4 linked regions of the Arabidopsis thaliana genome follow. The main gene of each other region encodes a partner of the protein of the gene in region 3 in a complex. Each region holds a gene or a part of one and is shown on either strand. Other genes may lie near its edges.

Region 1 (5,041 bases), on a different chromosome or scaffold from region 3:
TCGTGATAGTTTCTTAAATCTCTCTTCAGTCCACCGAGAGTCGAATCGGGAACAACGGATGGGGATTTAGGGTTAGTACTGCCAGATTCGGCCATGTCTCCGATCACTAACAGTGGTTTATTGGACTTGATTTGAGAAGAATCCGTGGTTGCAGTAGAAGCTTCTAGGGTTTTGAAGCAGCTTGAAGTGGGAGAGAGGAGAGAGAGACGTGAGACACGCACGACACACAGACTCTTCAAGTAGTGGGAGCGTCTTTATAGAAAAGTGAGTGGCGCGACTTACAAATAAAACCGTCCAGCTTCCCGGCCCCAATTTCGTAACTCACAGGCCCATCTGTGTTATTAGAGCAACCCTAATGGTTAAACTTTTAATAGGTTTTTTCCAATTTTTTTAATTTTAAAATTTGAGATTTGAATTTAAGAGATTTTGTTGGTCTCTTAATTTTTCTTGGTTTAATGGTAGAAATTTTTAGTGAGTTTCTTATAGTAAAAAATATTATTAAAATGAAAATTATAAATATTCTATTTTATAAAATTTAATAATTAATACAAATACTAAAATTTTAAACCTACAAGAAATGAATATTGAGAATCGGAATAACAATTAGTAGTTAGTTTGATTCCCACCAAATTTGTGTTATATATGCTCAACCAAATCACCTTTCAATTGTTGATGCATAGCCCGATCACGAACTCGAGCACGAGAGACCATAAAATTACCGAGATTTGAAGACATATCTGTAGAGTAGTTAAAATAACTTGTGAAGAGATGGTTGATTCTGGTAGTATGAATTTAGATGCACCAAACGATTTTTTTCAATTTAGTCTTTGATTTGATTATTACGCCCTATGATGAGGAGCTCGACACATATCATCTTTCATCAACATTGACATCGCCATCGTAAATGGAAATAACGAAATGAAAACAATTCAACCGAAATGAAAAGAAAAAAATTGGGTCATATTTTTCCTTCTCTTCCCTCTCCACCAATAGAAGTTTGCCATGTAGGGTCCCTTTGTTGTTTGAAAAATACCGTAAGAGAGAAACAACCCTCTCAATTAAACTGATTTCTAATTTATTTTGGGCTATATAATTCAAGGGACCAACCCTCAAAAGCCCCTTAGAGGCTGCCGTTGGAGTTGGTCTCAGATACAAGGTTTAATTAGTTTTAACTTGCTCTAAAGCCTCTCTACTATAACTTTATTACATTTTGTTTAGTAACAAATGACATTCCCTCTTTTTCTCCCTTTTTGAAATAAATATTCTTTAGATTTACACAATTTTGTTGTTTTTTAGAACTGTTCATCGAAAAATTTCGTCATATTGTCACTAAACTTTTGTAACTTCTAAGAAATTTCCAATATGTTTTCAAAATTTTACCATATAAATACTAATTTTAAGAGAAAATTTGTATCAATAATATGGATTAAAACATGAAGTTAGATTTTTTTTAAAAAGCTTAAAGCCCAATTTTTTTAAAAAAATTGCAAATAATCAGTCTTGAGAATTGAGCATGTTACCAATTCATGTTATACGGAATTAACACTGAACTATATTTCGTTTAACCGTTAAATTATACATGGTACAAAAAAATTGATGTCGTTTACTACTATATAAATATTGTTGATGCCTTTTACTTGCTTGAGCCCAAGATCAACTCTACCTTCTATTTCCGTAATGAATGACAACATATAATCTTATAACTGTATTAATTTATAATTTTTTTATATGACTCGGTTAATTTCCGCGCGATGCATATTTTGTTTTGAAAAAATATTTTTGATTTGTATTTATGGTTTTATTTTCTTATATTAAATAAATATCAGAAATAGTGAACACACTATTTTCTTATAGTAGGTTTGTATTTTAGTTTATGAGATTAGTGTCATTTTGATACGATGAGTTTTTCTTTGTTTGCACTTTGCACAGGTAAATATGCTTCATAGGATCGGCTGACCTGACCCACTCAAAATTGACTCGATGCGAAGCCACGTAACCGGCAGGGGCATAACTGTAAATAACCATGGAATGTATTTCTCAGACTCTTTCGTGCTATCACTCGCTCATCGTCACCTTCACCTTCACCTACCATTTTTGCCAACAAACGCGAGCAAGAGTTTTGAGCTCCAATGGCGACCTTGTCGATGACTCTGGTGCGTTTAATTTTTCCCTTTTGTACTTTTGATTTTGTTTTACCTTTCCGCTTCTTCTGCTTCTCCTGCTCTAATTTTCGGTTATCATCATAGTCAAATCCGAAGTCGCTCTCAGCTCCTCCACGAAGACTTTCTCCGATCAATACCTCCGCTTTCACATCTACCTCTTTCCGATTGCGCACCAAATCTTCCTTCGATTCAATCTCGTTCTCGTCTTCAACTCCCTTCTCCGCCTCATCGCTCCTCCTTCACACGTCTTATACCAAAAGAAACCACCGCTGTTTCTCTGTTCAATCCAATGCTGAGGTTAGGGATTCTCTCATATCTTGTTAGTCACTGATGTCATTTGATGGAATTGGTTGTTTTATTCAGCTTACTCTTAGTTTTTTTTTTCCATTAGATTTACTAAAAGCTATGGAATCATAATATGATGTGGATTTTGTATTCCAGGTGGTTACTGAACCGCAATCGAAAATAACACACAAGGTGTATTTCGATATAAGTGTTGGCAATCCAGTGGGGAAGTTAGCTGGGAGGATTGTTATTGGATTGTATGGTGATGATGTTCCCCAAACTGTGGAGAACTTTCGTGCTCTATGCACAGGTGAAAAGGGATTTGGCTACAAGGGTTCTACATTCCATCGTGTCATCAGAGATTTCATGATTCAGGGAGGAGACTTTGAGAAGGGCAATGTGAGTTTTTCTGGCTGAATTCCTTGGCAGCACCAGTTTCTTGTTAGCTGACTTGCGGTCCATATTATGTTTCTTTTGATTTACTTTGGTTCATCTTATTTTCTGCCAAATCACAAAGTAAAGTAAGCTGTCTCATATCAGGATGGCAGGATGTTTATTAATTTCTTGGATGTGGTACATAGTATAAGTCAAATCTTTCTCGATAAGGAAGGATGCTTAAGTTCTTACTTGTACGGATTTAGAGTCGCTCTTGAAAGCACATGTTTGGGTACATTAATAGGAAAAAGCCTGACCTTTGGAGAGCTTTCTACAGACAATCTTTCTGATAGCTGGCTCTCTGATTTGTAGATCAGTGGCTTTAGAAGAACAACCCCTGTTAATCTTAGACTTTTGTTCTTTTCTATATAGATAATACCTGGGCTGTAGGGAACTTATATACTGGTTCGTGGGTATGCAACTAGCTGTAGCTCGGTAGAAATATATTGTTATTTTCTGTTTCTGCCCATCTCAGTTACCGAAGATTCTTCTAGTAACTGCTAGGAGAATTCCATAATAATGATACAGAAGTCTAATTGTTGAGCAGGGAACTGGAGGTAAAAGTGTATATGGCCGTACATTCAAGGATGAGAATTTCAAGTGTAAGTCTATCCTTTTTCACTTGTTTCCTTCTTCTTCATTCTCCCCAGCTGTGCTTTAGCATTCATATTTATCAGTGGTAATGCATTTTAACTAAACATTTCTGCATTCTCTTTTTAGCTGAGCTGAGTATAATATATACCAAACCTTCAGTTTTATAAAATTCATGAAAGTAATAATGTGCTATACGCTGCAGTATCCCATGTCGGACCAGGAGTTCTAAGTATGGCAAATGCTGGCCCTAATACAAATGGAAGTCAGTTCTTTATCTGCACTATTAAGGTAAAATCTCCCTCTGGTTAAGGCCTATTGTTAAATTAGAAGTTATACGTAGGCAAGCGAGCATCAACAATAAAGAACACAGGTATTACAGTATATAGAATCCAATAATATAACCTAAAGAGTAGAGTTTTGAAATTGGAAACGAAGAACCATCCAAGCTTTGTTGGGAAATTTAGTGTATATCAAATTAATATGCGATAACGATGTGGACAGACGTCATGGTTGGACGGAAGACATGTGGTGTTCGGGCAAGTAATAGAAGGAATGGAAGTGGTGAAGCTGATAGAGGAACAAGAGACAGACAGAGGAGACCGTCCCAGAAAGAAAGTGGTGATAGCAGACTGTGGTCAACTTCCAATGTCTGAAGCTTAAAAGTAAGATCATTTAACCAAAATCTTGTAGACATGAGATGGAGCTTGTTTTTGCATTTTACAACCCTTTCTTTTGTGTAATGGATTTGTATCCCCTTCTTCCAAAAATTTAAGAAAGAAATAGTATTCCGCTGCCGGGTGTTGAACTCATATTTCATTTCATTGGTTTGTTTCGAAATTAACCATTGTGTTATAGCGGTTCAGTTGCATTACTAAGATACAAAATCTGAAGATTCAAGAGTAGTCGATGCAGTTGTGAAATTGGTCTGTGTAATACAGCGGATTTGTTGGTTTGGTATACGAGCAATTTGTATTTAAAGTCCGATCTCTTCATAAAAAAGTAAGAACAACAATTGAAACAAAAAATATTCCGCTGCCCGGATTTGATCCCGGATTTCATTTTGAGTAGTGAAATTGGCCTGTGTGCTACAGCGGACTTGTTTGATTTATATACGAGGGATTTGTTTTTAAAGTCTGATATCTTATTGAAAACAATACTAATTAAAATAATAAGTATTCCGCTGCCGGGGTTTGATCCCGGATTTCATATTGAGTAGTGAAATTGGCCTGTGTGCTACAGCGGACTTTTTGGTTTTGTATATGAGTGATTTGTATTTAAAGTCTGATATCTTATTGAAAACTAACTAATTGAACCAAAAAGTATTACGCTGCCGAGGTTTGAGCCCGGATTTCAAATTCTGTTGTGAAATTGGCATGTGTGCTACAGCGGACTTGTTGAACATGTATCCGATCAATTTGTATATAAAGTCTGCTTTCAGATTAATGAACAATATAATTACTTGTACCTATCACATGTTTGTATTTTAGTGTTCTTTCTTTTTGGTCAACCTTTTCTAGATACAAGATATCTCTGAATACTAGAAGAGCACACCATAAAAAGAAGAC
Region 2 (3,243 bases), on a different chromosome or scaffold from region 3:
CTTCAATAAAAAAAGCTTCTCTAACTAGACGAATCCTAGTCTATGAAAAGGGTTTAGCTTATCTAATGGTGACAATTAATACAAATTGGAATCTAAAGAAATAGAATTTATTGGTAATTAGACAGAAAGATTAGAGATTTAGGGTTTATGAGCTTACTTGTAGTGCCATTGTAAGTGACAGTGTCGGTAGCAAAGGTGATAGTTGAGCTTTTGCGTATCTTTCTTCCTCCATTGATGAAAGCAGAGAAAGGGAGATGATGGGTTTGAGAATTCTTAGGCGGGAAAGACAGTAATTTATCAGCAGAGGAGAAAAAGATTGATGTTTCCAGTAAATTCGCCATTTTTTCTCCCTCACAAAGTTCGTCTTGGTGACGAACAACGAGAAACACCAGAGGATAAGAAGAACAGGGTTTTAATTGTAAATAATTAGTAAACGTTGACAAATTCAAAAACTTAATATAACTTTTTGGGTAAAAATGTTAAAACTAACAAGTTTTGCATCAGTTTGAAATCTTTTTAAAAAGAGGCAAGGAGTAAGGAACATGAATGAGCAAGACCAGAATTGAGTTTCTTTGACATTACATATTCACATGACCTTAAGACCTTACATTAACAAGAAAAGACAAAGAAACTTAAGATTGATTATTACAAAAATAATTATAGCATATGTCATGATATATACATATGTTACTTTGTGATAGACAAAATTAAAAAGCATACTACAATATATTTATATTCCCATTACATGATTATAAAATAGAGTTTGTTTCACTAAGCGTCCTCTTGAGGCTGACCATCTCCACCACCTTCAATGTTACTGGTATTGAATTGTACACGAGGCTTTCCCATACTGAAATTAAGAACTCTTGCATCCATATTGTATTGTATTTCTCCATCGAACAACATCTTCCTTATGTAATGTTCTACGTCCGATCCTATCAATCTCAATGTGTACTCCGTTAATGGTGCTCCCTGTTCAAAAACAATATTATAAGGTCTTCTTGAAATGAGTCTAACTTTTAGATGAATGTTTCGTTCGTTTATTGTTATCGTTACCTCGTAGTGATCGACGAGTTCTTGGAAATAAGAATAGACCTTGTTACAGCTTTCATCATCCCACACAAATTCTTCAGTAGGATCAAGAATCAAAGTGAGTTTATCCATTTGTGACTGGTCAAACTCACAAGTCTCTGGATCAATATAAGCAGCGTAGATCCTAACGTGACGTGTGACACTGCTTAGCCACTGACCACCAAAATCGCCCATACCCTTGCTCTTCACGTTCAGCTGTTTCTCCACTGGTCTCAATGGTGTTGGCTGCTTCTTCATCTTCTCTGTTGATTGCTCTTCTTTGAGTGTCTCTGTTTCTTGTACTTCAAGAGTACTGTCTTGTTCCGGATTTGTCACCACGAACGCCTTTTGTGTTGTTCTTGGTCGGATTTGAGCAACCATAGAAGGATGTAATAGAGAAAGCTTGGTGCAGGCAGTGTAAGAGAATGCTGCAACCATTTTTCTGTCTAAGAAATGAAAAAAAAAAAACAGAACAAGTTTTGAGATGTTGTCCGGTTACAGAACCATATTCTTGTAAAGAGATTTGATGAGGTTGAGAAATGACCACAGCTTGTGGATGAGCCTCTCCCAACTTCTAGTTTCTTATTTATCCCTTTCTCGTTTTGTTGGTATTTTGTGGTTACTCTTAAGTCACTTGTGAGCTAAAGACAATCTTCTTTAGGGAATTCACTGTTTTGTTGTATGTGTTTTTTTTGTCTAAGTATATTTCTTTTTGATGTATAGAGAGAAAATTTAACAGATCATTATTTTTCGCATAGCGTGAAAATAGAGTTTTACATGTATCATCTATACATTCCATGGGAATTCAAAGCATAACAGAAAACACTTGTGGGGTGAAACAGTTTAGTTCTTGTACTTCATGGTTTCTTTCTCAAACCCAATTGTTGGGAACTGCTTAGCGAATTCCTCGACTTCATGGCGCAGTTTCGCAATCTCGGATTGGATGGTTGAAGAGGATTCCATTGCTGACACGAAATCCTTCAACTTGGTTCCTGGTTTTAGAAACATAACAAATGAGTTCAATCATTGTATATAAGAACGGAAAGCATAGCATCGTGATCAGAGAAGTAAAAACCTTGAGCTTCAGATTTGACTTTGAGAGCTATTGTCACAGCTTTGTCGAAGTATTCAGCTACTTTGGCAAAGTCTTCCTCAACAAAGCCTCTGGAAGTGAGAGCAGGAGTACCTGAAAATAACAATGGCAGAGGATATCAAGAAGAACTCCATTCGAATACCAAAAAGAAAAATGGTTAAATGTGATTTTTACCCATTCTGATTCCACCAGGAACCATGGCAGAAACATCTCCAGGAACAGTGTTTTTGTTGGATGCAATGTGAACAGCTTCCAACACTTTCTCAACTCTAGATCCATCAATTCCCTGCAAACAAAATCGAATAAAAAATGAGTTTTAACTAAGAAATATAAAAGAAGATTATATACAAAAAAAGATCAAGTGACCTTGGGCTTTAGATTCACTAGAACCAGATGGTTGTCAGTTCCACCAGAAACAAGTTCATATCCTCTCTCCATTAGAGTCTGCACGAAACAACAATGTAGAGATATAATCAAAGTAGATACTACGCCATATGTGTTTTTCTTTCCTTCACGGGATTAGTACCTGAGCAAACTTTGCACTGTTACTCAGGACTTGTTCTTGGTATGCTTTGTACTCTGAAGTAGTTGCCTGCATTTTCAAACCATTTGAAGGTTACAGAAACCGCAAATCCAATAAGCAACGTTAGTTCCATTCCGTGCCTCACCGTACCTGTTTCAAAGCAACAGCTAGTCCTGTGATAGTGTGGTTGTGTGGACCACCTTGAAGACCAGGGAAGACAGCTTGGTTGATCTTGTCTTCAAAATCATACAAAACCTTTCAAGACAACAAATGAATGACGTGAAAGATTATACATAAATCTAAAACATTTTGGTTCAAATTTTGCTTCTTTTTCTTTTTTACCTCTTTCCCTTGCTTGTTAATTTCCTTAACACCCTTTCTGAAGAAAATCATGGCTCCACGGGGTCCACGAAGTGACTTGTGAGTTGTGGTGGTTACAACATCAGCATAGTCGAACGGTGAAGGGATTACATTAGCAGCAACCAAACCACTGATGTGTGCCATATCTGCTAGCATTACAGCTTTTTGCTTGTTACAGACCTGGGAAAAGAGTTCG
Region 3 (3,417 bases):
AAATCTATGGGCCTACACTTTTGGGCCCAAATTTATATAACTCTTCTCGCGTTAATCAGAAACTGATGCTACTTCTCAAGGTTCTTACAAAATGTGTAACAACTAACAAGTAAGAACTAAAGAACACAAATCTCAAATTTGCTTTTCCAGTTTCTCAGGTCTAGAAGGAAGAGATTCCTGCCAGCAGTCTAAACTTCTCATAGGAGACCCAAAACACGAACTGCCACGGTCCAAGCCTTGCCCATGTCGGGAAGAAACCTTTCCACAAAGCTCTTATTCCTTCAAACTTAACCGTCTTCACCAAACAGTCGTAAGAATTTCTGTACACAGCATTTTCACCCTGGTTCATCATCCTCGTCTTCACCACATCAGCTGGACAACTCAAACTTGTCGAAGCAAGACCCGACATTATAGAAGCAAGAGTGTGCGCAAAAATGTTATCCTCAGCAATCTTCTTATCGATGACAAAGTGTTTGGCGTGATCATAGCAAGCTAGTTCTCCCATATTCACTAGAAATGCTCTCTGGATGTTTGGAAGAACACCTTTCCATAACCCTTTTACTCCTTCTGATTGTAGGATTTTGGTAAAAGCCTCGATTGGTCCCGAGTACCTCGGTTTCAGGCCTTGGCTCACCAATCTACCATCTGCTTGCATTCTCACTTTGACCAAATCAGCTGGACTAGCCACTACCTGCATTTCTAGTATGGACACAATAAGAAGCATTTTAGTGTGGTGTAGGTATAAACAACACTCAAATGTCAATTCTAAAGATATCAACAACCTAAAAGATAGCTACATTTCTCACTTCAGTAGCGTAAAAACAATTGAAAATCCTTAATAATTAACTTCGCCGGAAATCTACGAGTTTCCATAGGTAATCAGTGATCTGAGAGAACTTAATTGTAACACATAGGAGACAACAAGCAAGCACAAATTTTGGATTAAGGATCTGTGAAATACATTGAGACGTCTATGACTAGGATCTGCATTGGTTCTTATCTCTGAACCAACCTAAAGTAGCAGCTAACTTTGGAATGAAACGAACATTGAAAGCCTATAAAACTTGAAACAAAATCTCCTTCTAATTAATACCTTCTTCTACGAAACATATTCAAAGGAAACTATACATAGAGATCGATTGTTCAATTCGAAATGTTAATTCTACTCTAAGCAACTGTTAATCCAGATCCAATTTACAGTCAAAACATGACTCTAAAGATTTACCGGTGAAGAAACACCGTTACCTGAGCTATAACACCAGAAAATCCTCCGACGAGAGCCTTTGTGGCGAGAGGAAGAGACTCGCTATTGTTAGTTTCAGATCTGACGATGAGTCCTTTCAAATTCTCGTATCCAATGATTCTGATAGGCGTGTAGAACAGGTGTCTGATAATCGCCGGAGATAGACCTTTGTAGAGACCAATCACTCCTTCCTTTCTCGCAATCTCCGATACGACTCCGAAAGCGCCAATCCGATGCGCACCAGAAGCGGATCCCGAACCATGGAGCTGCATTCTAGTCTTTGTGAGATCAATCGGAAACGTAACTGACTCTGCAACCATCGCAGAGAGTGAAGCAAGCAGGATCCTGGTTCCGGTCGGTGCTTCTCTGGTCACTCGGCTCCGCTCCATTTTCACCGGATTTGATTACCACTAACACAATGTCCATCACAGAGAACACAACTTGATTCTATTTCGTAGTCAACGACATCGTTTCGGTCATCAGAGTGTATTTGACGACGTCGTTTCCATAATATTGGGCTTTAAAGTCTTATGGGCCCATGTTCACAAATTCTAAAATACAAAACTTTAGAGATAACAGCCGACGTGGCAAAACATGAAAGACCGAGTAGACATTATAGTTTTGAGCTCCTCCCATTTCATATCCTTAAGAAAAACAAAAACAAAAATCAAATGAGCTCCTTCACCACCACCAACACTCCGCCACCGTATCTCCTCCGGAAAATTTATCATCGCCGTGTAAACCAACCGTTCTCCGTCGTATGTTGCACCGGAGAACCCCAACAAGACATCTTCACCCGCCGGAGAACCTTGACTTCACTAATAACATTCACGGTCATCGGCGGTGCTACGTCATCAGCATTAGCACAGGAGAAATGGGGGACAAGGTCATTCATAAAGGAGAAATATTTTATGCCGGGACTATCACCTGAGGATGCGGCGGCGCGTATAAAACAGACGGCTGAAGGATTAAGAGACATGAGGGAGATGTTGGACCACATGTCGTGGAGGTACGTTATATTCTACATAAGATTGAAACAGGCTTATCTGTCTCAGGATCTCACCAACGCCATGAACATCTTGCCGGAGAGTCGCCGGAATGATTACGTTCAGGCGGCAAACGAGCTTGTCGAAAACATGAGTGAGGTATACGTTATATAATTAATGAACAAATTAAAAACAGAATTAGTAATTTTTAATGCTAATTTAAGGTTTGATTGTTAATAACACTGAATGTTGCGTTTTGTAACACATGATCATATGGAAGTCAAACTTTAACCACATGTTAATATTGATATCTTTCATAATTTTGATATAACAGTTGGATTTCTATGTACGGACGCCAAAGGTGTACGAGTCCTATCTTTACTACGAGAAGACATTGAAATCGATAGACAATGTTGTGGAGTTTCTTGCTTAATTCAGTTGTATTGTATATATGTCTTTCTTCATTCTTCACATGAAATCTCTGGACTCGTTACATTAGATATAAAATTAAAAGACTTAATAATGTATATTCAAGAAACATTTCGTTTGCGTGATTTCTCTGCAAAATCAGATCGATATATATATGTGCATAGATATCTTAGTGGCGAGAGAGGGAGATAGCGGAATTGATAACAATAAGCATGAGTAAGATCACTGCGCAGAAAGAACCGATGAGAGATCCCGAGATGCGTTCACAGAATCCGTCAAATTGCTGGCAGATCGGTGGCCAATTAGCAGTTGTGTTCCCCTCGTGAGCTAAATACACGGTGGCTGTTGCTGCAGATGCTCCAGAGCTAACCAAAGCCAGCATCACCTGATTATATATAGAAACCATAAATCATAACACTTTTGAGTGATCAAATTTAAATTTATATATGGGTTTTCATTAAAATGTTAGCTTTCTTGGGTCACAAGTTAGTTGGATATTTGGTGCCCTGTTTTGTTCTCTTAAAGAGGGAGATATTTACCGTGTCGACAACGAGCAAGATGATTCTCGAGGTTTTAGCTTGAGTACTGAAGATATGAAAGATACTCACAGGTAGAGAAAGAACCAAATATCCACCAGAAATGGCGTTTGCAACCACGAAAAACCTATAAAACAGAGCAGTATTATTATATATACACAATCAAATTCATGATTCATCGATATACTGATCACTGAATATTTTACATGAGCGTTGGTAAGTC
Region 4 (4,180 bases), 1.6 Mb from region 3:
GAATTAAAATTGTACAACTATAAGAATTAATTGACACACGACAAAATACACTACATGCAGTGATGCAGATCTTTTTTTTGTTTAAATAAAAATGTTACATCATATCTCCTGTCATGTGTTCCTAACACACACACAAAAAAAAGAAATATCTGAAAATTAAACTTAAATTTGAAAAGAAAACAAAAACAATAAACCACACGTGTGGTTTACAATTACAAGCTCGAAGAGGCTTTGAAACATGGAAGCACGAAGGTTACTGACAAAGACATGACAAGCTCTCCTTCTTCACCTCTGCTAACTTATTTTTTGTTTTTAAAGATTGATTAGTTTTGGTTTTTGTCAGGTAGAATCGTGCAGAAGCGTATTTCCCGCTAATTGTTCCTCATCAGACTCACTTTCCAGTCTATACGACCAATTAATTTAGCCCCAATTGACTAAATTTTTTATACTTAAAAATAATAAATATTCACTCTGACCAACTTGCGACCGAAGAAATCAAGAAAAGCAAATTAAGATAGTTTACCAAACATAATTATTTATATTTTTAAGACATCGGATGTCGTCAACAATAAATTTCTGAAGGAGACAATTGCTCCTAACATGATCGTTCAATGATTCAGAACACAAGACAACAAAGAAGTACATAACATATATTATATATATGGAAGCTAGAGAGTATATATAATGTTGCATGACTGATATAAGAAAATATATAATGTGTATGTAAAGTGGTTTATGATTCACAAGTTAGTTTTCTACTTAGTAACAGCTTCTTCAAGCTCTCTTAAGCCACCAACCTTCTGTTCAATTTCTTCGATAAGTTCTTCACGCCATAGCTCCGCTCTTGCTTTCTCTTCTATGTCTTCTTGCTGCATCATATAACCCAAAACACAATAACAACTCTATCCAATCTTATAATAGTTGTACACATTGTGAATCTGTGATGATATACCAAAGGTCAATGGCCCGAGCAAGCCCAGCCCGACCCAACTTAGGATCAATGTTACCTACCATCAGATCTGTTAACGTTTGAATTATTATATCAAGCCCAACCCGGCTCAAACTTACTAAGCATGATTGATCTATCAATAGGATGGATCAATGTTACCTACCATCTATCAGATTGTGACTTTCGTTTAGATGATCAAGGTTGTGGATTCATATTTTTGGGTGCATATATACCAACGGTAAACGCTAACCTAAAAGCCACCTATTTTTCTTTGTTTAGGGAGGTTTATCGCATGCTGAGACACATGGAGGAGTACTCAAAACCGGCTCTGAACAGGTCTACATGGCCTACTAAGACCAAGGTGGGATAGTCTGAGGTCAAACTAGATCTGAACTGGTCCACAGGGTCTAGTAAGACCACAGCGGGTTGGTCGGTCCATTGCAACATCCCTAGTTATAATTTGTATGCATTTCTAAGTTTTTTTCTTTCTTTCCTAATAGTATTAGAAAGGGAGAGATACATACAGTTTCATAGACCCAATATCCAGTTCCATCCCCTCCATCTCCACGGTACTCCTCTGAGTCGTAGAATGGATCCTGTATTGATCCAATATCACAAAGTACTATTAAGATCCCAATGCAGCAAATGTATCAAAAGATTCAGTTTGAGTTGTTGTTTTCATACTTTTGCTGAACCGAAGTACAAACATCCCCAACAAGTGAACATGATGTAGAACATATCTGCCATATCAAGATCAATATCAAAACATAAGAAAAAGAAGAAAAAAAAGTCTAAGAAAGAAAATAAAATCTCTCAAGAAACCCCAAGTGTTTAACTTACAAACATTCTTGATAGCTTTATCACTTAGATGCCACACGTGTTTCTCTGTAATGATATCACGCATTCCTTCTATTTGTTGAACCATCACAGCCATTAATGGCAAATCATGTGGCAATGCCTTTCTTACACATAAGCTTCCTCTCATCAAATTCCTTTCCCTCTTCTCATTAACATTCTTCTAATTTTTCAAATTCTAAGACGTAAATTCACAAGAATATGGAGATTTTTTTTCTAATTTTAGTCTTAGTTAGAGAAAATTACTTACAGATAGCCAATATCCATGATTCGGTCCTGAATTCTGCTTCGGCTACAACACAATACACAATTCTTAAACTTTTTTTCGTAATGAAATATTTTTGGTAAGAATATAAAATAATATGTACCGAGTGATTGTAGGAAGAAGGAATATGAAGATTTGTGAAGGTGAAACTTGTGAAAGCTTCAGCCATTGTTACTTCTTGATGGTGGCAATGGAGAAGAAAAAAAAAAAATGTTGGTGTAATCTTTTTTATTTTTTCATTTATTTTAATCTTTAAGATTAGATTTTTTGAGGCAGAAAATGTGTGGATAAGGGAATTGGTATCGTCCACTCTTCACTTTTGTGATAAACAAAATAAAAAAATAACGTACGTTAGCAATCACATCGCATAACACTTTTTTTGTCTTTTAAAAGCCCAATTTAGACAATCACAGTACACATTTTAGCCTTCTAAAACGCTCAGGTTGGGAACAACTATTTGCCTTAAAGAGTGGTAAAGATATTTCCAGCAAAATTCAACTACAAACTTTCGTATTTTACCCGTCCAACAAACTTTCCATTCGCGCAGGTTAGCAATCACTAAACACGTTCACTCCTCTAGACGTGCAAGTTAGTAACCACACTAAAATTGCTAATAAATCTTTGGTTGGTGAAATTCAAACTTTCCGCTTATGTCTCTTCCCAAATACATCATTTGTTGAATAGCGTACGTTGGCAACTATTGCCAAACTTTTAATGATATTTCCATCTAATTCAACTTCCTATGCGCGCATGTTAGCAATCATCCCAAATACATCATTCGTTGAATAGTGTATGTTCTATTTGCCAAACTTTCAATGATGTATATCCATCTAAACCAGCTTTTATTCGCGCATGTTAGCAATCACAATAACACGTCTACTCTTCTTAGCGACTAGTATTTTGTCAAAAGTCGGAAGAAAATCTCCGGCCAAGTCAACTTCTATCGCTTTAAAAAGCGCATGTTAGCTATTAAAAAGCGCACGTTAGCATCATTTTCGGGAAATTGCTAATCAAACTTTCCACTTTCGTCTTCTTCCCGTGTATATCTTTAATCTCCTCTGTTTGGTGACTATTATCCAATTTCCACCGATCTTCTCCTCATAAAAACACCTCTTCCTCAACGAATTTTTTATCCATGAGTCGCATAATGGGATTGTTCGATCTCGAGAAACACTTCGCCTTCTACGGTGCTTACCATAGCAATCCGATCAACATTCTAATCCACATCATCTTCGTTTGGCCAATCTTCTTCTCAGTTTTACTTCTCCTCCACTCGTCGACCCCAATTTTCGACCCCTCTCAATTAGGGTTTTCTCAATCGTTGACCCTCGACGGCGTTTTGCGATTTAACGTTGGGTTTATATTCGCCTTGATTTATGCTCTGTTCTATATCGGTTTGGATAAGAAATCTGGATTTGTAGCTGCTCTTATGTGTTTCTCTTGCTGGGTTGGTTCCAGTTTTCTTGCTGTTCGACTAGGATCTTCTCTTGCCTTAAAGGTTAGATTTTTTTTCTCTAATTTCAATTTAGGGTTTTTGAAAAAACTTCATTTTTGGAGAAAATAATTGCGTAGAAGCATGTTTATGAGGGTATATGACTATGTGTATCCATGTGTTGCTCTATGTGTATATTTATATGATGTGAGTGTGGTTCATGCATTTATTGTTCATTGTTTTCTATGCTTTGACTTGAAAGTTCGTTTATATCATTGGTTATGCTCGGGGAAGAAGAAATAGATTTATTTATATCATTAGTCCTCTCTATCTGTTGTCTATGGGTCCCTTCATTAGCTGTTAACGTTGAGACAGCAGTACTAATATCATGTCTCTAGCTTTGAACATTCATGATTAGTAGTTATTGCAGTTTGTTCTGCAATTGTCCACCTTTGCACGGTTCTGATTCTTTGGTCCGGAGACTTGTCATGTTTTTAGTGTTGTTGACTCATTGGTTAAGAGGATTTGATGTGTGCTTGGACGGAAACAAGTGTTGTTCTTGACCACCAACATTTGGATGGTCTCAGATAATTAGAATCTACATCACTTGTTTAACTAAAGTTTGGTTTTTCTTCCATAGTATTTGAGACATCTGTAACTTAGGAGCTTTTTTATGTAT

What was found.
Region 1: PnsL2 (region 3) and Pnsl5 share a complex: the UniProt entries of both Arabidopsis thaliana proteins name them as parts of the chloroplast NDH complex.
Region 2: PnsL2 (region 3) and NdhM share a complex: the UniProt entries of both Arabidopsis thaliana proteins name them as parts of the chloroplast NDH complex.
Region 4: PnsL2 (region 3) and PnsB4 share a complex: the UniProt entries of both Arabidopsis thaliana proteins name them as parts of the chloroplast NDH complex.

The regions. Positions count from the first base shown.
Region 1 is NC_003076.8:4,161,809-4,166,849, reverse strand, and holds Pnsl5 (cyclophilin 20-2), read left to right. Parts: upstream 1-1,926; 5' UTR 1,927-2,129; coding exon 2,130-2,153; intron 2,154-2,246; coding exon 2,247-2,459; intron 2,460-2,603; coding exon 2,604-2,846; intron 2,847-3,429; coding exon 3,430-3,484; intron 3,485-3,678; coding exon 3,679-3,764; intron 3,765-3,977; coding exon 3,978-4,136; 3' UTR 4,137-4,476; downstream 4,477-5,041. Other genes in the region: AT5G13130 (Histidine kinase-, DNA gyrase B-, and HSP90-like ATPase family protein), read right to left, coding at 1-95. UniProt on the Arabidopsis thaliana protein: NDH shuttles electrons from NAD(P)H:plastoquinone, via FMN and iron-sulfur (Fe-S) centers, to quinones in the photosynthetic chain and possibly in a chloroplast respiratory chain.
Region 2 is NC_003075.7:17,829,977-17,833,219, forward strand, and holds NdhM (subunit NDH-M of NAD(P)H:plastoquinone dehydrogenase complex), read right to left. Parts: upstream 1,644-3,243; 5' UTR 1,510-1,643; coding exon 1,057-1,509; intron 973-1,056; coding exon 772-972; 3' UTR 557-771; downstream 1-556. Other genes in the region: AT4G37920 (endoribonuclease E-like protein), read right to left, coding at 158-341; SHM1 (serine transhydroxymethyltransferase 1), read right to left, coding at 1,915-2,063, 2,147-2,257, 2,339-2,450, 2,531-2,608, 2,691-2,756, 2,838-2,942, 3,030-3,227. UniProt on the Arabidopsis thaliana protein: NDH shuttles electrons from NAD(P)H:plastoquinone, via FMN and iron-sulfur (Fe-S) centers, to quinones in the photosynthetic chain and possibly in a chloroplast respiratory chain.
Region 3 is NC_003070.9:4,837,971-4,841,387, forward strand, and holds PnsL2 (PsbQ-like 2), read left to right. Parts: upstream 1-1,830; 5' UTR 1,831-1,914; coding exon 1,915-2,388; coding exon of another isoform or gene 2,389-2,403; exon of another isoform or gene 2,404-2,563; coding exon 2,564-2,662; 3' UTR 2,663-2,827; downstream 2,828-3,417. Other genes in the region: UCP3 (Mitochondrial substrate carrier family protein), read right to left, coding at 161-691, 1,246-1,632; AT1G14160 (Uncharacterized protein family (UPF0497)), read right to left, coding at 2,828-3,043, 3,198-3,321, 3,401-3,417. UniProt on the Arabidopsis thaliana protein: NDH shuttles electrons from NAD(P)H:plastoquinone, via FMN and iron-sulfur (Fe-S) centers, to quinones in the photosynthetic chain and possibly in a chloroplast respiratory chain.
Region 4 is NC_003070.9:6,458,683-6,462,862, reverse strand, and holds PnsB4 (NDH dependent flow 6), read right to left. Parts: upstream 2,461-4,180; 5' UTR 2,239-2,460; coding exon 2,173-2,238; intron 2,097-2,172; coding exon 2,055-2,096; intron 2,020-2,054; exon of another isoform or gene 1,968-2,019; coding exon 1,790-1,967; intron 1,690-1,789; coding exon 1,634-1,689; intron 1,546-1,633; coding exon 1,474-1,545; coding exon of another isoform or gene 1,399-1,473; exon of another isoform or gene 1,020-1,398; coding exon of another isoform or gene 1,014-1,019; exon of another isoform or gene 870-1,013; coding exon 756-869; 3' UTR 519-755; downstream 1-518. Other genes in the region: AT1G18720 (ER membrane protein, putative (DUF962)), read left to right, coding at 3,205-3,567. UniProt on the Arabidopsis thaliana protein: NDH shuttles electrons from NAD(P)H:plastoquinone, via FMN and iron-sulfur (Fe-S) centers, to quinones in the photosynthetic chain and possibly in a chloroplast respiratory chain.